Linked DNA regions of Mus musculus: all the other regions are reported to be linked to region 4. Evidence: microRNA targets listed by miRTarBase, many of them from high-throughput screens and not tested one by one. Region 4 holds a microRNA gene; each other region holds the end of a gene's coding sequence.

Evidence for each region. Region 4 holds the annotated microRNA mmu-miR-1897-5p (CUUUGGAUGGAGAAAGAGGGGG, at 1,517-1,538, opposite strand). A microRNA usually pairs through its seed, bases 2 to 8, with sites in the 3' UTR of a target mRNA and lowers its output. Matches are read on the target gene's strand: a 7mer-m8 pairs with bases 2 to 8, a 7mer-A1 pairs with bases 2 to 7 and ends in A, and an 8mer does both.
Region 1: miRTarBase lists Znrf1 as a target of mmu-miR-1897-5p. Seed matches in the 3' UTR shown: 7mer-m8 at 1,105-1,111 and 8mer at 2,362-2,369.
Region 2: the mRNA of Klhl31 is a reported target of mmu-miR-1897-5p. Seed matches in the 3' UTR shown: 7mer-A1 at 3,172-3,178 and 7mer-m8 at 2,977-2,983.
Region 3: miRTarBase lists Ccnd1 as a target of mmu-miR-1897-5p. Seed matches in the 3' UTR shown: 7mer-A1 at 2,524-2,530, 7mer-m8 at 1,919-1,925, 7mer-A1 at 1,893-1,899 and 7mer-A1 at 1,460-1,466.
Region 5: the mRNA of Utp25 is a reported target of mmu-miR-1897-5p. Seed matches in the 3' UTR shown: 7mer-A1 at 2,705-2,711.

What each region holds. Positions count from the first base shown.
Region 1 is chr8:111,621,310-111,625,426 of GRCm38, forward strand. Znrf1 (zinc and ring finger 1) reads left to right here. Exons shown (of 4, transcript NM_133206.4): 4 at 287-4,117. The coding sequence ends at 344. Among named protein-coding and RNA genes, the nearest start is that of Ldhd, 7.0 kb to the right of the region's middle.
Region 2 is chr9:77,655,071-77,659,187 of GRCm38, reverse strand. It overlaps Klhl31 (kelch-like 31), which reads right to left. Exons shown (of 3, transcript NM_172925.2): 3 at 1-4,061. The coding sequence ends at 3,329. Among named protein-coding and RNA genes, the nearest start is that of Klhl31, 20 kb to the right of the region's middle.
Region 3 is chr7:144,929,175-144,933,291 of GRCm38, forward strand. It overlaps Ccnd1 (cyclin D1), which reads right to left. Exons shown (of 5, transcript NM_007631.3): 5 at 757-3,597. The coding sequence ends at 3,433. It also overlaps a transcript of LTO1 not described here. Among named protein-coding and RNA genes, the nearest start is that of Ccnd1, 8.6 kb to the right of the region's middle.
Region 4 is chr3:34,635,895-34,640,011 of GRCm38, reverse strand. It overlaps Mir1897 (microRNA 1897), which reads right to left and starts at 1,548; the gene lies at 1,470-1,548. Sox2ot (SOX2 overlapping transcript (non-protein coding)) reads right to left here. Exons shown (of 5, transcript NR_015580.2): 3 at 1,373-1,654.
Region 5 is chr1:193,104,251-193,108,367 of GRCm38, forward strand. Utp25 (UTP25 small subunit processome component) reads right to left here. Exons shown (of 12, transcript NM_145415.2): 12 at 153-3,536. The coding sequence ends at 3,293. Among named protein-coding and RNA genes, the nearest start is that of Gm31406, 11 kb to the left of the region's middle.

The DNA.
Region 1 (4,117 bases), not on the chromosome of region 4:
GCTGTGAAGCAGCAGACAGGTGGTGTGAACCAGACTTGGGTCCTCTGGGAAGCAGCATCTCTCTCAAACCACTGACTCAAGCTCCCGTCTGCCCTCCCACCCTTAGGATATCGTTGTTGATCATCTTCCTTTTTCTGCTTCAATGAATTGGGGGCATAATCATGTTTCCCTGGGGTCGTTTCAGGAGAGATTTAGAAAGCCTTTCCTGAGAACCCCTTGAAAGGCTCCCTTGGCAGGAACAGTGTTGTTAGCAGCTAATGTGTTTCCCCTTGATGCCCCACTCCAGCTGCATAGACTCATGGTTTGAAGTGAACAGATCTTGTCCAGAGCACCCTGCTGACTGACCCTGCTGGGCCTGCTTGCCGACTCCTCTCAAAGGTGAGCCCATACTTGGCGGGAGACTCTGGGCTAAGAGTCAAGTTTCTGGGAGCTGGGGGAGAGGAGCTGGCCTGCCTGATACACACCCCACCAAGGAGAAAGCAGAAGCAGAAAGACAGAAGCCATCTCCTCAGAGAGCAGTCCCCAGGAAGTAGGGGGATGTTCCTGGGAGTTGGGGGAGCATGAAAGAGCGATAGTAACCTAGTCATGAGAACTCCATGCAAAGATAGAACCAGGCTCCTTCCCCTCAGGAGAGGCAGAAGGTCCCCTGCAGGGTGCATGGGCTGGAGCAGAGGCGCCCCCAGCCAGGCTCTACAGCAGCCTCACCTCCCTCACCTCTCAGAGACTCGGTTCTGAAAGGGAAGAATCACTAAGTAGTGGCCTGTGGAACAGACATTGTCCACTGCAAAGACATGGCCTGAGGTCTTTCCACTCCTGGTTCTTCCACCGGCCTGAGAGGTCCAGGCCACACTCAGTCCTTGTGTCCCAGGCACAGTGTCACAGCAGCAGGCTACTCCCTCCCACACACGCACTTCTGGTGCTGTGTAACCATTGGATCTGACCTTCATTTCTTCCCCAGGGTACCTTGTTTAACTGCCCCTATCCCGCCCCCACCCTGCCTGTGCCTTTGAGGACTGTGTTGGGTGTTCTCTCTCTTTTGTTTTGTTTAGTTTGTTTTTGTCCCATCCAACTGAAAACCATCAGCCCCTTCCCACTTGATCCCACATCCAAAGGCTTGGGGATCCCTTTTCTTCTCTCTCTTCTTTGTTGTTTTTTCTTTTGTTAGGTTTATTTTATTTATTCCAAGTAAATGCCCAGAACAGCTGCTGGTGTCAGGCAAATCAGGGACATTGGCTCTTTCTACCCTCACCTCAAAACCTGATGCCAAGCGAGGGAGAGTGAGGCAGAGGGACTGGATCCCAGCTCCAGAGTGCAGGTCCAGAATGCCGCCGCCGGCATGATGTTTGGCTTCCAATGGGCCTGCCTGGACTGAACCAGATGCCCCAGCCAACCAGCCTGGTCTCAGGGGGACACAAGCTGCTGCCACCGTGCGATGGAGCGGCAACTCTCAGCAAGATGAAGCGGGACTGACTTCTTCCGACCCACACAGGGACAGCCAGCCCCTGTTCCTGGGAGGAGGCTCCTCGGACACTGGACAGAGCTGAGCTTGGGACACCAGAGAGAACAGGGCACCCTTCTGCACTGACTTCCAGAAAATGGTCCTCCCTGAGGACACCCAGTGGATGAGAGAAGAATGAATTGACCTCTATCCTTCCCCTCACCCTCGACCCAGGAGGGAAAGGGCATTTTCTTTTTCACCTTTGAAAGGCGTTGTGGGTCTGTCTTTAAAAAGTGTTTACAAACAACAAAAAATTCTATAAAAAAGTCTTGTGTCGACTGGTGTTTTCCCTTGTGATGTTTACAGCCTGCTGTTTGCTGCCCAGCTAAAAACCACTCATGACAGAAGCAAGCATAGCCATGTCCTGACCCTAGCGCTCTGATGGCAGGTGGGCAGGCGGGCACACGTTAGTCCCTCTGCCCAGCGCCCCAGTTGGCTCTCTGCATCACTAACCTTTCTACCTTTGGGGATTCGTTTTTTTTTTGTTTTCTTGTTCTTCTGTCCCATTTTTCTGGCTTGGTTTTGCACTTTTCTCCCCTTAAATTTCCTTGATTTCCTTGCCAAAAAAGAGGAAGATGAAGAGCCCATCGTGGACACTTGCCCTCCCCCAGCCCCGAGTCTCCCCTGCCTTTCCTCCTGGATCTGATCCCATCAGAGGATTTAATAATCACAAATACACTGAAAAAAAAAATGCCTGGACATTTTTCCAAGGCCCCTGTGATTTTTTTTTCCCCCTGAGGAAATTTAGACTTAGCTAAAGGACTGTGTGCTGCAACCCCCATTTTCAGGCGCACGGAAATATTTTAGCCATTCACACATGACATCAGCCCATGCAGGATAGGTTTCTGTATTTATATATTAAAATCCAAAAAAAAAAAATTACAAAAATGTTTTAAAACTGTTCAAAGCTTAGGAGAAAAGCTTATCAGTCAAGGTGTTTTGATATGGTATTAAAATAGTGTGTAACAAAAGATGCACCGTGTGATTTATTTTAATGAAGTGTTGTTACACAATCAAGGTGGAAGGCAAATGCCAGTTCCCTCTGTCCACCTCTCAGCCCACACCCCCTCCCTCAGCACCTGTAATGGCTTAGCCACTCCTGGGCAGAGGCTCTACATAGTGGCTCGGCTGTGTCTTTGAAGTTTATAAATTCTTAAGCATCATGGAGTGATTGTCAGTCTTCTGTCATCTCTGGTTGTGATAGGATGCTACTGGAATGATATTCAGGGGCAAAGCTCTTACAGCCACCAGAGGATACAGGCACCTGGAGATGCCAGCCCAGTCCGTTTGCTTTTCAGAGCCTCTGCCCCCCTCCCTACCCTCTGCTTGCCTGTTGCTCCGTGCAGAGCCAAGTGCTGACTCATGGGCATGCTTCTCTGAGGCCCCGGAAAAGGCCCTGCTCTGGGCTTCTTCCAGCTCACAGTCCTTGAACCAGAACCAGCCACTCAGCCTCATACAAGTTAGCAAATTGCAGGCTGGGCAGGAAACCTCGGGGCAGAGCAGCAGTGCATACCTGCCTGTCTTCTAGCCAGGCTCCAGGAGCTGCATTTCAGGGCCTCCTGCAGAGCCAGCTAAGGGAAGCTCTGGAGGGAGATGGCACCACCTCTCTACCATGACCATTTCCAGACCTGCCCCTTGTACTGCTGTGTCAGGGCCCAGTCCCAGCAGGCCCACAAGTTTGGACTATGCTACCACCCTTGCCCTCAGATGCGTCCTGAAGCAATTGCTCTGTGCAAGGACATGTGTTGGAGGCCAGTGGGCATGTGGGCACCAAGGCAGGGAGGCAAGTTCAGAGAACTAAGAGTGCTTTATTTAGAGCCTGAGTGTCAGACGCCTCAGGACCTGAACTGTAAGCACTGTCAATGGCCAGAAACTGGGCTCTTGTCTGTACTGGGGCACTTTACTTCTTGGTGGAACCGTGAACTCGATCCCTTGCATGTGAAGTGGGGACAGGGTCATGCGGCTCGGTTCAGTTTGTGTCGGGGATCTGCCCCAAAGGCCTGGCACATGCGCAGCAGGCTTCCTTGTAGCTATGTCACTGCAAAGGGCACTGTTCTATTCCCAGCACCTCCAGCTTCTGCCTGGCACCTGTGTCTCCCCGTTCTATATATAATCCTACCAGCAGAGCTGGCGGGCCAGGGCCCAGCCCGCAAAGAGATCTCCTTGTCTGACCCCCGGGCCTGGAGACAGGCTTTGTGTGCCCACCTTGGCTGTGTGAGCTCGGCTGCCCTGGCAGTGCTGTGGCTGAGTCCCGTGGTTGAGTTGGTTGGGGCGGCGCTGAGCCCCACACCGGGTGCTATTCTAGGCTCTCTAGGCTGGTGCTCATCCCATCCCCAGTGACTTCCGCCCCCACCTGGCACACCAAAGCCCTCTGTTGGCTGTCATGTCCTCTGAATTTGGACCCAGATTGCCAGTGCCTGGTGTGAGGGGTGGGTGGGACTGGGCTTGTCTGGGCTTCCCAAGGTGGCACTTGTGTGTGTCACCTTTTATCCAGACAGCCCTCCAGAATCCTGTGTTGTTCGTTCCTACTCTGCCTTTCTGAGAAGGAAGAAAATCCGGAAGAGCCAAGGGATGGGTTCTTCCCCTTAGCTCTGAGGAGCCCAGAAAGCCTTCTGAGAG
Region 2 (4,117 bases), not on the chromosome of region 4:
ACTCAGGCATTAACAAAAATCACAAGACATTTTCTTTGAGAAAAATAAACACAAGTACATGTTTGGGTCCTACCTTGTGGCTGTAACTGAATAGGGGTAAGCAGGAACCACAGTACAAGCATGTAAAGTTTGCAGTTGCAAAGCGGACTCTGCTTCCCAGGAGCAGCAACTTGGAAATGGATTAAAGACTTTGAAGGGTACAGAACGTATTGCATCTTCTTGCATTTTTGTCCTTAATGGCAGTGCAGGCTATTCTGGGGCTCAAAAATTCACTAGCTTTCATGGACCATATCCTATCAACCTCAGTGCACCAAGACGTGGTAAGCCCAGCTGTGTATATTTTCTGAGTCTTCAGATTAACAACACAGAACATAAGTGATTGCAATTTACCCAGGGGCTGTAATCGGGCTGTGCTTTGCCTCTGGAAAGCAACCTCGTGGGCTTTACATCCTACCTTACCAGCTCCAACTGAGGTCCCTCTATTTTCTGTCTCTCTCCGCATGTTTTAAATCCTAAAATGTTACAACGAGTTGACTTTTATTTCATTCACAGCCCTAGGTCCTTCTTTTCACACACCTCTACATTCTCTATTGAGGCACAGCTATTAGTGCACATAAATGAATTACATCAGTCTATTCAATTATTTGTAGCCCCCAATGAAGCACCCTTTTCTCTCTCAAAATTACCCATATACTGTAGGCATAAATTGCAGAGGTGTGTCTATACTGCCCTGATAAGATGTGATGGCTGCCCTAGCAAGTCGTGGCCAAATGATCCCCAAAATATTTGCTCAGAGTTTTGTTTTCCAGCCTGCACAGTCATGGAGGCAAAAGAGCAGGTGTCTTTAGGTTTTCCCTGCAATTGATGGAACTCCTCTTTCTCTCTGTATCTTTGTGCTAATGGTGTCTTACTTATTTACAGTGTTTATAGTCTGTTCCTCTGTTCCTGAGCATCACTGTTGAATACCCCAAACAGAACTTTTTGTAAGGGGTGATGAGGAAGGTTATCTCAAGAATGTTTTATTTGAACCACTTTTCACAGTTGGAATAAGATGTAGCCATCCCTCAGTGTCCTTGGGAGACTGGAACCAGGACATGCCCCATCCCCTGCTGGGATACAGTGTCTGTGACACTCACGTCCCATCTACAAAGTGGCATGTACTATTTACATACACCCTGCTCACATCTTCTTCTATAAGTTATATTGTTTCTAGGGTATTATAATATCTAATACAATGCAATTGCTATGCAAACTGTTGTGCTGTATTGCTGGGGGGGGGGAGAAAATATTTGGTACATGTTTGCTATGCAATTTTTTTTTCAAATATCTTCATCTTGGGTCTAGCTGCACCTACAGATGTGTTAACCCACAGACAAGGGGACTGGGCTTTAGACATGACCATGACAGCTACAACACACATGTAATAGGAAAGGCTGGGATTGGTAATAACCAAGATACAGTTCCAGATGCCTCTCCATCCCTCCAAATTCTCTAGTTGTACAGAAGGCATGGATGATAGGCATTTCCTTCCCCAAACAAATATACTATGAAGATAAACTGATATATTAAAGGAAAATATCCATCATTTACTACAGTTCTTCCCCTTTCTTCCAAACTTGGCAGATAACTCAAGGAAATGGTAGCAGGAAAATACACGTTGCAAGGCAGGATGACATAAGCCTTTAATTTCAGCACTCGGGAGGCAGAGACAGATCTTACTGAGTCTGAGACCAGCTTGGTCTACCTAAATGAGTTCTAGGGCAGCCAGAGCTACATAGTGAGACCCTGTCTAAAAAAAAAAAGAAAAGAAAAGAAAAAGGAAAAAAGAAAAAGAAAGAAGAGAAAAGAAAAGAAAAGAAAAGGAAAGAAAAGAAAAGAAGAGAAAAGAAAAGAAAAGATCCAACCAACCAACCAAATAGATACAGTTTGATTTGCAAAGTGGTATTAACAAAAGTAAATCATAAAGAGCATTATTTTGGGGGTTAATATTTTAAGTTAGCTATCAGCACTCCTCAGTGAGGAACCCATCTATTCATCTGGTAATTGCCAAGTCCGAGAACCCCAAATATTTCCTTCATCATCTCCACGTGAACGAGGGGTCAGTAAAATTACTGCTATTGGCTGTACAGCCAAAGGCTAAGCTGCAGTTAATGATATTCATCCAAGAACATAGTGTGATTTGGTGATTATTCGGGCTAATGTTAGAGGCAATTTGACCATACCTGAGTAAGATAAAGCTGTACCCGATGGTACACGCCTGTAATTCCAGCCTACTGGGGATGCTGAAGCAGGAGGAGCAGCCTGGCAACCTAGTAAAATCCTACTTTAAAATAAGAAAGAGGGCTGTGAGTGGTGGCACACACCTTTAATCCCATCACTCAGGAGGCACTGGGAGTTTGAGGCTAGCCTGGTCTACTTAATGAAACCATGTCTCAAATATTAAAATAAAGCGAAGACTGGATATGTAGTTAGCTCCCGGGTAGAGTACTAGTGTGTACCAGGCCCATCCAGAAAAAAGGAAAAAAAAAAAAAAAAAAAAAAAAGAAAAAAAAAACAACTCTGTCCATATAAGGATTAGAGATACAAGTGGAAATATTTCTAAGAAAAATGCCAAATGATTTGAATTTACACTATAAATTAAATGACAGGAAACTGTTCCTTTTCTGAGAGTAGGATTTTATGTTAGAAAATGGCAGAAGCTTCAAGGACAGAATGAGGGGGTATACACCGTTAACCCCAAACTGCCACCTTGTCGTTTCCTAGGTAGAATGTATAGCTTTCCAGCCACATCCTGTTAAAAGCTTTGTGGCTATGTCATGAGATCTTTTTAAAAGTTCTTTCCAGTCAAGTAGGGACAAAGAATAATTTTCTGTTGAAATATAGAATTAAATCTTTATAGATGTAGACTATTTTCATTTGCAAATGTGAAGTGGGTATTTTCAACTTCCTTCAAAGAAACAGAGAGGAAAATACTCCTTTGGATAGGAAATTGTATAGACGAGTAGGTTTCACGTGTACACCGTGGGAAAATCTCAGCGTGTGTGTAACTGCTATGAATTTAGGAAGCGAGCCTCCTTGCAAGAGTGCCTGTAACAAACTCTAGTGGCCACCCAGTGGCTGCATAATGAAATTGCTTCTTTTGTTGGCTACAGCCCTTTATTATTTTTTTTTTTTTGGAGGGAAAGACTGAGGTAGATGGTGCTAAACTAAGAATTTAAAGCGGTCCAGGCACTCCTCTGGATCGATTTGAACCACCGTCACTGTAGTAAATGGTGTATATTTTCCTGGTGGCCCACTCACAGTTTGACCACATTGGGAAGCAATGCGTTCAGATACTGACCGGCACGGAGGACACCGAGCTGGCCCGTGACTCTCGGGACACGCTGTTGGGCATGGCCAGCGTGCAGCAGGACACGCCCACGGTGGCCTCGGGCAGCTCGTCGTCCTCCGTCCACTCGTTGAGCTCGGGGTTGAAGCACTGGATGCATTTCTTGTACTTCTTCTCGCCCTCGTTCCAGCCGCCCAGCAGGTAGGCTCGCCCGTGCAGCGCCGAGACACCCGCCGTGCTCACGCCCACGGGCAGCGGCGCCACGAAGCTCCACTGGCGCGCTGCGGGACTGAAGCTCTCCACCGTGAGCACGTCCACGCGCTCCCCGCGCGGCCCCAGCTGGCTGCCCCCCATCACGTACAGCCTGTCGCCCAGCGCCACCGCGCAGTGCCAGCCTCGGGGCGTGCTCAGCTGGGGCAGCTCCTGCCACGCGTCGAGCGCGGGGTCGTAGGCGCACACGGAGCGCGAGTACGCACTGCCGATGTAGCCGCCGGTCACGATCACGCGGCCGTCGGCCACGGCGCTGGCGTGGCAGCAGCGCGCCACCTCGAGCGGCGCTTTGGGCTGCCATTGGTTGGTGGAGGGCACGTAGCACTCCAGCGAAGCCAGGCTGCCCTCGGAGTTACGGCCGCCCACCGCGTACAGCAGCCCGTTGAACACGCTCAGGCTGAAGTGCGTGCGCTTCTGGTTCATGCTGCCCAAGTGAATCCAGGTGTTGAAGCGGGGATCGTACCTGAGATGAGAGAACCGTTGTTGCAGAAGAGGGAATCGTGATCTTGTCCCCACCTC
Region 3 (4,117 bases), not on the chromosome of region 4:
TCCTGCCATCAGACAATTTGGTACAAGATGAGTACTGTGTCTTCATAAGCCACCTCTGGCTCTGGTGTTCCCATATACTCTCATTGAGTAGGTCGCCTGGCAAGGTCACTGTGGGCTTCTCTCCGTCCATCTCTTTCTGCTTTCATCATTGGGTGGCACCACTCAGACCAGGTGTCATCTACACCCTCCACTTTCCAGAAGGGCAGGGGCCCACCAGGCACCAAAACAGCCAAGCTGAGACCCAAAAGCTACCTTGTAGAAGATGATGTCTAAAAGCCACCTGTCCCCACAGGGTTTGGAAACAATACTAGTCATGAGTAACTGCCACCCCGAAGACATCACAGGAGTCTTGCCAGGCCACTCAGGTCTGCAGAACTATGTGAAAGGCCACCTTGGGTCTTGGCCCTAACACTAAGCATGGCTCTCTGGGCGCTTGGCAGCACCTAAGAAACGGTGATTCACCCAGAGCAAACACCCATTTGCGCCAGACAAGGGGCAGTGAACGCGGGTTCTGTTGATCTTCCATCTGCAAATAAGCAGGAGGGTGAGCTGGCAGTGATGGACCCAGAGCCGCTTCTGATCAGTGGCTGTCGCTGGCCTCCCTGACGCCAGAGGCTCCCACTTTGCTCTTGGCTGTCACTTGCATACACCCTTCCCCTTGGGAATCCCAGGTTGGTGCCAGGGCCAGAGATGCCACCCCACATGGCTGTGGCATCACCCCACTCCTGTTCCCAGAAAACACAGACAACAGTGAGCTGAGATTTTACCAATTTTATTTTCTAGATTTTTTGTCTTTTTTTTTTTCCTGGACCATGCTGGTCACATGTCTGTGCTGGGAAGCGCCATGGTGTGTCAACCAGAAATACAAAAAGCCAACCTGGCCACCAGCCAGAGCCCCTCAAAGCCTTTCATGTCACAGGGCAGATTCCGTGGACCCACCACCAGTCTTTGGCCTTTTGGCCAAAACCTCACCCCATCACCATGGATACAGCGGCCCTCAAGGGTCCTGCCTGGCTGGGATGCCTCAGCTGAGCTGGTGGTGCCCGTTTTGGTTTGGCAGCTTGCTAGGGAACTTGGGGGCCTACAGCACTGCAGCTGGCTTCGCAAAGGCAGAGTCTTTACATTAGCACAATGCTGTAATTAACACAAAACAAGACGGAACACTAGAACCTAACAGATTAAATGATGCACCGGAGACTCAGAGCAAATCCCCCCGGGCCAGCAGCATGGTGGCATGCACAACAGGCCGCTACAAGAAACAATATCGATAACAGAACAATCCAGGTGCCCTGACTGCTGTGATGCTATGTCCCAGATCAAATGAAGGGCCCAGCATGACAGGACGATCGCCATCAGGGTCCCAGGATCCCTGGAGGCAGACCGCCCACCTGCCTGCCAGGCTCGTGCATGGCTAGATGATACATGAGGTATTGTGAACAGGAACCTGTTTTTTTTTTTTTTTTGGAATACAGCGGTAATCACATTAAGCCAAAATAGATCACAATTAAAAAAAAAAGTACAAAAAAGGGCATCTGTAAATACACTCTATGAGGAAATTAAAACTTGAACATGGCAGTCTGACATTGTAAAACAAAACAAAACAAAACTGACCCTCCAATAGCAGCGAAAACAACGTGAAAGATACAAAGCAATGAGAATCTGGTTCTGAACGTCTGGGATCCTGGGAGTCATCGGTAGCAGCGCCATGAGAGGAGCCGTGGCCTGTCCCATGTGGTCCCACCTTCACCTCTTCCCTCACATCCCCTCTTAAGCCTCCCGCTCTCCACCTTCTGCCAAAAAGTCCTAATAGAAAGGCACAGAGCCAGAGGTGTGCAAATTACCTACTGTTGTTAACTTGGGGGCAGCGGCAAGAATGTGCCAGAATCAAACTCTTTTGGAGTCCCCTAATTTTCCTCAGTTTGGATGGCTCTCCAATGGGGCCAATTGGGTTGGGAAAGTCAAGCAGACCAAATCTCTGTCTTTGTGGTTTTTTTTTTTTAAGGACCCCCCCCCCCCCCCCGTTGCCCAATGAAAGACCAATCTCTCAGACATGGCCCTAAACCTTCTCCAGCAGGGCAGAGGTGTGCGTTTGAATCAAGGGAGATCACATTGCTTTGAGTCACACTGGTCATGGGCAGCCTTTCCCATAAATACTCTTCTGTAGCCTTAAGTATAAATTAGACATTTTAGTGTTTAAAAGCCTCCTGTGTGAGACTTAAGAGTTGTCCCCAATCTCCTTGTCCAGGTAATGCCATCATGGTTCCTACTTCCAAACACCAGCTGGCACCAAAGGATCCCTTCAACTTTGCAGGACAGATCCCGGTGGTGCGAGAACAGAGTTCTCTCTTCTTGACCCAACAAAACTTCCCAAGCACCTCATACTACCAGCCCTACAACCTGTTGTACAGCCATCTGAATGCGTGTGTGGACATCCCCATCCATTCCATTAGAACCCCTCCCCCCAACACACACCAGCAACACTGCCTCCAGCTAGCTGACCAAAAGTGCTTTGAAATGGAATGGTTTTGGAACATAGAGAAAGAAAACACAACAAAACAAACCACACACAAAAGCTGTGGGTTTAACCTGATGTGGGCAGGCTGCAGGGCCTTCAGGCAAAAACCAGCATCTCTCTAAACAGAGCTACAAAATAGGAAGGTTACAAAAATAGAATATATTATGTCACTATTTCATCCCTACCGCTGTGTGGCTGGTGCTGTGAACCTGCAGGTTGTTGGGGGGAGAGGGCACATTAAGCTGAGCCCTGGGGAGGGGGGTTGTGCCACACGCCATGAGACCACTAGAGGTCGCACTGACCATCTATAAGGTTAAGAGGTCTGCCCACCCCTGGGATAAAGCACAGGTATCAGGTAACAGGGCTGTAGGCACTGAGCAAGCCAGGGAGTGAGGCTGAGGGCCTAAGCTGTGGCTTTTCAGCAAAGCAGAGTACATTTCTCAACCTAAAAACTCTTCTACTTTAACAATGGTTTGCTGTATTTTTTTTCCTTCCTTTTTAAAGCAATGTTTCTTAAGCTTTTTTTTAAAAACATATAAAAGAATCAAAACTCCTTCTCAAGACTTCCCCTGTGTTAATCCTACTCTTAGAACAGACAAGCACATTAATAGAAAACTAGTTGATTACTGGGGTACAGAATTCTATTTTTGTAGCACCCCCTGGCTCCCTACTCTCAGGGTGATGCAGATTCTATCTCTCTCTCTCTCTCTTTAAGACAGCTTTCAGATATTTTTTTCTCTTTTGCTTAAATCAGATAGAAAGGAGAAAGATTAAGGAAAAACAACCAACAAAGAGAACAAAACTTCCTCTTCTGGTAACAACATGTCCCCAAGGGGGACGTCGTCAGGAGCACCCGGGCTGGCTCCTTCCTCTTTGCGGGTGCCACTACTTGGTGGCTCCCGCCTGCCCGGTGGCCCTCAGATGTCCACATCTCGCACGTCGGTGGGCGTGCAGGCCAGACCAGCCTCTTCCTCCACTTCCCCCTCCTCCTCAGTGGCCTTGGGGTCGACGTTCTGCTGGGCCTGGCGCAGGCTTGACTCCAGAAGGGCTTCAATCTGTTCCTGGCAGGCACGGAGGCAGTCCTGGAGAGGCGGGCGGAGATGGAGGGGGTCCTTGTTTAGCCAGAGGCCGGTGGCCAGGGCCTTGACCTGCGAGGCAGGCTTTGCTAAGAGCAAGGCTTGAGGAAACTCCCCAAGCCACCCCTAAATCCAGTGAGAGCTGCCAGAGACTAGAAAGGTACTGCTACTCTCTAGGTTCCTCCTCCCAGGCTGTACCCTGAACTTCCCCACAAGGAGCGTCTATCTCTCATAACTTTTTGCCTTGGGTGGCCTCTGAGAGAGGACAGCTCCAGCACAGGTAGGGTCTGGAAAGCATTTGCCCAGGAATAAGACTCATGAACTGAAGCCCTGCCTAGGCAGGCTGAAGCTAGGGCACTGTCTATATTCCTGAAGCCAGGAGGATTCCTGGGGAACACCTGGGAAGCCCCCACATTCAAAACTTGTGTATTGTTCCCCCTTTGTTTGATGAACACCATGGCTAGAGGATGGAAGGGCAATGGCCCCATTTCACAGATGGAGAAAGTGAGGCCCAAGTAGCCTAGTA
Region 4 (4,117 bases):
GGCTGTAAATAAGACCGCGCGACCTGCCCTCAACACCTTTTCTCTTGTCAATCATAGCTTTATCATTCAGCCCAAGATTAACCTTTATCTACCAAAATTTTAAATAAAAAAAAGAGGGAAAAGAAGGAGGAGGAGGACGACGACGACGAAGAGGAGGAGAAAGAAGGAAAGGGAGGCCCCTGGCCACTGCACGCCTAGGTGACAGAGGTCCTCAGGAGCCTCCTTGAATTGCGATGATGGGCGGGTGTCAGGATCCTCAGACTGGCCTTCCCAACCACACTTCTCAGGCTGAGAAGCCCCCCTCCCCCCACACTGCTCATCCCCACAGGGCCTCGCTCCACGAATCAAACAGCCAGCCATCCTCAGCTTGGAGGCAATACGCGCGCCAAAAATCACCTGTACTAAGTTTCTGGACGGAAAAATACCTATCTTTTCTACTAAGTGCAGAGCAAAGCAAAGCAAAGCAAAAACAAACCAAATCAACCAACCAACCAACCAAACAAGCGCAACAAAAACCACAGCTTCAGCAGCTACAAAAAAAAAAAAAAAACCTTTGCTGAGCGTGGGATGGCGAAGGTAATGTCGTCCGATTTGTCATTAGAGGGCGCCAGAGAGTAGCCCAGCGCCCTAGCCAGCTTTTCTCAGCCCTCCCAGATCCCAGCCTCGTCAGCCTCTGTATTCCCTCTCAGGTAATATTTCTTGATGATCCTGCCCCCTTGCGTTTCTATCTCCCTCTATTCCAGTTGCATAAAGAATGAGGGTTAGTCATGTCCCCTGTCTCACTTTTTTAAATTCAAGCTCTCTTTCACCCCAATTACAGCACACCCCCACTCCCCCAGTCCCAACAGGGATCGAAGTGAGCCCTTCAGCATCTAAGTCACTGCGGTCTGCACAAGGATCTTAGTAGGAGAGCAATACTAGAATTTAACAGTTTTAAGATGGAAACCCGAAAATTTTCATTATTGGATTTACCTATAGGGACTCACAGACGTTTAGTTTTTGCTTAAAAAGAAACACACACACCCCTTTCATACATACATACAGCACCTTGATTACGTTCAGACCTCAAAACTATCTGCCCCAAAGAGAATAAAATGTCACTTCAATTCTGCATTTGTTAAAGAGATCTTAATTAGCATTTAATTCCCAAACTTAACACCTTCTGACTTAAATCGGCCTGTGTTAAATAACTGCTACACAGGGTGGGTATCCAGCTCTCTTAAAGGTCACACAGACACACACACACACACACACACACACACACACACACACAAAGAGGCAGAATGAGAGGAGAAGAAAGTGAGTGAGTGTGTTGGGGGGTGGGGAGAGGTAGCTAGCCTTGAATGTCAAAGTTGGGTTGCAAGCTACTTACGCGACCATGCCAGATCAGGGTGTTGTCTTGTAGCAGTTTGATTGGCAGGTAAAAAGCACTGAACGTGAAGGCTCCGGAGCCTCTCGTCAGCCCAAGCTGGATCACTCCTCACCGGACAGAACGAGTTGAAGGAGCTCGCACTTCCCCCCTCTTTCTCCATCCAAAGCACGGAGAATCCATTTAGGCTTTTCTTCGACCAGTCTCTCCCATCAGCGTCCTGCCTTCCGCGCACCACCTTACACCAGCCTCCAAGACCTAGTCTAGCTTTGCCTCTGCAATCCCCTGCAACAAGAAAAATCGTTTATGGCTTAAAACCCCAAATGGCTGATTTTTTAAAAGAGAGAGAGAGAGGGAGAGGGAGAGAGAGAGAGGAGAGAGAGAGGGTGAGGGGGAGAGAGAGGGGGAGCGGGAAGAATGCACCCAGAGAACAACAAAAAAGTCAGTTATCCTAACACTGCTCTATCCCCCACCGTACAGAAGAATAAAAAAAAAAAAACAAGCTTTATGTTTTTCAGTGGGTATTCAAAGATAATTTGATGCCATTGTTTCTGCTACAGATGGTTCTTTTAAATACAATAACACGGTTCTTTGTGCAGGCTACTCACAATAAAATCCAAAGCGTTCCCCTGAATAACCATTTTGTTCTCTCTTGTATGGGGCCAACAAAAGATTCCGTGAGGTAATGGGTTCTGTTTATTGAAGCCCATAGAATAGGGGGTTGATAAAGATTTTTTTTTTTTTAAGCAGAAGACCTTGGAAGGTCGGGCTGATCTCTTCATATTTTTTATTAAAATATTTGTCCAATACATTATTCCTTGGTGCAGCTGCAAGCTTCCTCCTCAATTCTTAATCAGCCCAAACATCTGTCTCTGGAAGGCTTTAAAAATCTGCATGCAATTGTATCAGTAGTGCAGTAACCTTATGAAACCCCAAATCTTCAGGCTCACTACAGTCTTGAAGGCAACGCAGTTTCAACTGCCTCTGGGGGAAAGGACGGTTGGGGGGAGAAGAGACAGGCAATCCCAGTTCCAGTAACTTAAGGAAATGTGGCTTTCCTCTTCCCAGGCTGGCGGACCATGCTACCAGATGAATCAGCCACACGTATCTCAACAAGGGCTTCTTCCATCTTGAGATGTGCCTCTTCCATGTGCACAGGAGGGGAGGCATGGCTCCCCTCCACTTCCCCCCCCCCACCCCCCCACTCCAAGCTGGCCTTCCTCTCTGCTAATCTAAAAATCCTAGGCTGGGAGCCTAGGCTGAGAGGAAGCAGTTAAAGGTCTCTAACACCCAGTGAATCCTACTCTTAGCTCTCTTTGATTCATTCCTAGCTACTTGTGACTTTGAAGGGTCCTGGGATCGGACTGATGGCCCACCTCCAGCCGCAGTGCCCCACTCTCAGGGTGGCTCTTCCAGCCATCTGCTCCCTTTCTTTCAGTTGCTTCCTCTCACTTAGGAAACCCAAACATGAAAACTCAAAGAGGGTCCGAATGAACCTTGAGCAGCGCCCCCACAATGGGACAGGAGACACTGCAGGGAAGTGGTGAGTTTGGGGCGGACCTTTCTGGCTACATGGAGAACAGGCTGCTCTTTAGGCCTGCAAGAGCCCAGAGCCACAGACTATACTCTCCTGACTTATGCCGTCAGTGGTGTAACAAAACCTTGGCAGCAAAATCATTTTAGGGCTTATTTCTTAATAATTTAATTTCTAAATTATTTGAGACAGGGTCTCACAAGGCAGCCCCAGTTGGCCTGGGACTCACTACACCAGGCTGGCCTCGTTGCCTCTGCCTCCAGACTGCCGAGATTAAAGGGTGCACCATCATGCCTGGCTTAAATTATTTATCGTATAAATTGTTGAGATAAGCAACCTAATAGAAGTCTGAAAAGAATAAAAATTGTGGCACAACTTTAAAAAGTTAAGCATTTCTCTCTCTCTCTCTCTCTCTCTCTCTCTCTCTCTCTCTCTCTCTCTCTCTCTCTCTCTGTATTTTTGGTACAAAGTAAAAGGTTTCCCAGTGGCCCTGGTTGTCCTGGAGCAAACTCTGTTGACCAGGCTGACCTTGAACTCAGAGATCCTCCTGTCTCTGCCTCCCCAGTGCTGGGATTAAAGGTGAAGTTAAGCATTTCTTAAGACTGGTTGAAAAAAGTGAGCCCCATTTGGTGCTGTAAAGCTCAATCCTAGCATGCATGAGGTCATAGGCTTAATCCCCATTGCTGCCAACAAGAAAAGACCTTGAGCCCGTATGAGTGTGTGTGCAGGGAGGGAGGGATCTTTATGATTGCCTATGGAATGTGTGGGTATTTTCTATTTGGGGCACTGTGGGAGTGTGTGTGGCACCATACAATCAGTAGGAACACTTCCAAGAACTGTGGGGATGAGGAAGGCAAGTGTGACTTGAATGCCCACGTTGTCATAGCAACTGATTCTGGAAAGACCAGAGTGACCATTGTACCTCTCTCCCTATGTTTCCACTATTTAGATTTACAAGGATGTGGTCAAAGTTTCCCCATTTTTTACATGGACTGAAAGAAGACTCAAGCTGATGACCCCTCTCCACTGAGGAAGCTGAGATTAGATCTGTACCATCCCAGCCCTAAGAAGTTTGAAATTAGTTGTCCCTTGTCTCCTGGAAGCAATCAAGAAGGTGTGGCACATGCTTGTTTGTGTTCGTGTGTGTGTGTGTGTGTGTGTGTGTGTGTGTGTGTGAGAGAGAGAGAGAGAGAGAGAGAGAGAGAGAGAGAGAG
Region 5 (4,117 bases), not on the chromosome of region 4:
GGATGGGAGATTGTGAGTTCAAGGTCATCCTTAAGAGTTGTGAAGACCAGTTTAGACCATGAGACCCTGTCTCAACATGTGCATGAGCACACATGAATGCACGCGCGCGCGCACACACACACACACACACACACACACACCCCAGGTGTTTCAGTTTTGTTTTGCACTATTTTTTTTGGTTGGCTTTATTTATGTTGCTTTTGAGACAAGATCTCACTATGCAGACCAATCGCTTTCTAGTCAGGATCCTCCTGCCCCCAGGCACCATGCCTGGCTTATTTATTTAGTTAGTTAGTTTTGGTTTTGAGTGAGCATGGGTTCCACTTTAAAAAGACTGAGTAACACATAACTCTTCAGAAAGTCTTGAAGGAAGTCAGAATAATTGCCTGGGAGAAAAAGAGGCTCACTGGAAATGAGCAGCCTGCCTTCCCGCCACATGCCAGCCGAGGCTATGGTGCCCAAATGGCCACAGCCCAATGCAGAGGTCCAAGACTGACAATCACGATGGCTTGGTCAGGCCACCCCTGACCTGTTGGCCTCAGGGAGAGCAGGCTAGCAGGATGTTCTCTCCAGTAGTGAAGGGACGGCCAGGTTGAGCTGCCCACCAGCCCAGGTTCAGATCTCTGTAGAACAATGCTGGCATTCAGAGCCTGGTCCTGACTCCAGAGTACAAGGATAGTTGAGCACCTGCTTCTGAGGCTGAACTCTGTCCTCTTACATGATCCCAAGCCCCACAGGAATAAGAACACTGTGGTCAGAGGTACAGGGCCACTTACACTAAACACACACCAAAGGCATCAAGGAAATGGGTCAGAGGGTGGGGGAAAGGGAAGGAAGGCTGAAGGCCTCAGATCATAGAGGATGCACCCTGAACAGTATGGCTTCCACAGCATTCTTTATGGAAGCCTCTGGGACCTCACAGCCACCTAGACTTTATACATCATGGCTTTTCAGGCGGGTGTAGAGAACTTCCCCTGCTTTCTTTCCCCAGGCCTTTTGTCATCTGGAGACCATAGGCTCAACAAATCTAAACCTGGCTGTCTGAAGAGATTCCAGAAAGGTCCAGCAAAAGGCAGCCAGACTTCCCTGACTCTCCCTTGCCCTCAGCATCTTCTTGTCCCCCACAAAGGGTGCAATTAGGGAATAAAAGCTTTAGAGCCCCCCCCCCCAGTCCTCTGAGGTGTGAGTAAGGATGCCCCCCCATCTTGCCTAGGCCACCTGCACTCGATCATAAGCCCTTTGGAAGCCTGCAGAGGGCTGAAGCCTCTGCCTCAGGCGCTGTGATTATCTTGTTATATCGAACACTGTACATGGTGTAGCCAGCTGTGACAGCTGTCTCGAGTCAATGCCTTTTGCACAAAAAGAAAAGAGCTGGGTAGCTGTGACCACTGTGCAGAGTCTGAAAGTCTCACTTTCTGGGTAAGTGCCTCCCTATCTAAGACTGGGATCACTCCACACACTGTGGGCTGCAAAGGAGATACTGAGAACTACCAACATAGAAGTTGGGAGAGGGGATGCGGGAGGTAGGGGAGAGGGCGAGGGTGGGGAAACTGCGGTCAGGATGTAAAGTGAAACGATTAATCAATTAATTTTGTAAAATGCGATAGCTCTTGGGAGGTGTAGGAAAAGATTAAGAATTCAAGGTCAAGGTCAGAAATGGAAGGGCGGGTTGAAGACAGGACCAGGAATACAGAGCTGTCCTCACTAGTCAGGGCTAGAGACTGGTCAGGAAATACAACTATTCACACGTAAAAGTGTGCATGCGATCCAGCTGACGGTGATCCCACTGTCACATCTGAGAGTAGGTTAGTTCCTGAAAAAATAATGATGGCAGTATTGTAACCCACTTAACAAAAGGTGAAGCCATGTGTATAAATTAAACATAAAGCACGGCCAGGCATGGTGGCTTCAAGCCCGTGTTTCCAGCACTCCAAGAGCAGGGAGACTGCCATGAGTTCCAGGCCAGCCTGTGGTGAACACTCTTATCTTTAAAAACAAAACAACAACAAAACGAACAAAAGAAGAAAGAGAAAAAAACTAAGGAGAATAAAGTAGAAGTTGAATTTTCACTTTAGAGTGGAAGTTAGTCAAACCCTGTCTCAGACAGGCAGTCGGTCAGGAGACAGCGACGCAATGCAAGCCAAGTGGCCTAACGGGGCCCAGTGAGGTCACAGCCCCACCTAAGGAACATCTGACAGACTTCCTGGCCTCAGTGCCAAGGTCAAGACAGAGTAGAGGGCACTGCACGTGTGATGGGAGCCTACAGTCCTGCCCGTGTCCTCTCACTGTCTAGACCAAAGCCAAACACCCGTGAGGTTGGCAGTCAACTCTGCAGCAGCTGAGGCTCAGGCCTGCACCTTCCTGTCGTCTGAAGCTGCCTTCTGTTGAGTTGAAGCGAGGGTCACCTGTGATGGTTCTTATTTGCAATAGTGTTGTTTTTATAATAGAGTTTAAAATAATGCTTCTTAATTTTAAAAGTATTGATTTTTCTTTTCATTTTCACCTGTTACACAATTCAAAAACCAACTTGGTGCTGAGGACAGAATCAACCTTGGGTCCCAAATGGTGTTACTTGAACTGTAGAAATAAATGCTGCTTTATACATGACTGGTAAATGTATGTCTTAGCTACTAAAACACTAGGAAGAATCTAAAATGATAGTGAATAAACGTACTCTTCTAGGTTGGAGTACATTTTTTTTTTTTTTTGGAAGTTTGGCTAGAAAAGTAAAGTGCCAAGACTGGGACATAGCCCGGGACACCTCCTGCTCTCAGCCAGGCCCATGGGCAATAACAGCAAATGCTTTAAGAAAAATAGACAGGCAAGTCAGAGAATCTTCCCCAAGTAAAAATTGAAGCCAAGGGGCTGGTGCGATGGATGACTCAATAGGTTAGCACACTACTCTTTCAGAGTACCTGGGCGCAATTCCCAGCACTTACATGATAACTCACACCTGCTTGCAACTCGTTTTAGGGGATCCAAAACTCTCACACAGACATAAACGCAGGCAAAGCACCAATACGCATAAAATAAAAATTAAATTAAAAAAGTAAAATCTTAATGGAGAAGTCATAGCTTACAAAGTGTGGCAAGCACAAGCGTCAGTTTCTGAGAGTAGCAGGCCTCTGACTGCTCTTGGCCCTGACAGCTGTGGTGACCCACACTGGTCACTCTGCACTGCACACTGCACTTTCCAGTGACACAGGACTGCAGACTGCCTGGAGCCCGTTCCTGGGGCAGTGAACAGATCAGGTCTATGAGGTCCAACAATGTAGTCCGTTCCCCTCCACACTCATTTTTCTCCGGTGACGAAGAGGTGGACATTCTTTGGAGACTGCAGCATCTGTGCCGCCCGCTCCACACCAACCACAGCCGCCAGCCTCTGGGCATCATACTTGGAATACAGCACGGTGCACGTCCACGTGGCCTCCTCTCCTCTGCTGGTGGCTCTCAGCATGTTACAGACCTCACTGTAGAAGTGAGGGTACGTTGGCAGTTCATAGAATATCAGGTTCCTGATGCCTTTTATTGTGTACCTGTGAGAGAGGAAGGGGGCATGAAGCAGCAGCAGGAGCTGTACATGTACAGGCACAGGGCTCGACATGTCAGCGGCTTCACAGACACTTGGCTCTACATGTCTGGGTGAGGGTACGAGCACAAACCACGGACAGAAAGTTACCCCAGAATTAGACGGTTTATTCTTGTGACAACGAAACTGAATTACTGATGCTGAGTTTACCATAATGATAACAGAAATTTGTATTTATTTAAAATTTTTTTTGGAAGAATATGCTGACCTGGAACTTGATAATAGATTAGGCTGGCCTCAAAACTCACAGGAAACCATCTGCCTCTACCTCCTCTTGAGTGCTGGTATTAAAGATTGATACCAGCATGATGCCCAACCCAATTTTTAAACTTGATATTTACTTTATCATCATTATTTCTTTTTTTTTGGGGGGGGGGGGCAGAATCTCATGACAGAGCCCTGGTTGGCCTGGAATTTGTAGTGTAAACCAGGCTGGCCTCAACCAGGTGAGCTACAACATCTGATTCTTTAAAAACAAATATTTCTCTCTCTCTCTCTCTCTCTCTCGCTCTCTTGTGAGCTACAACA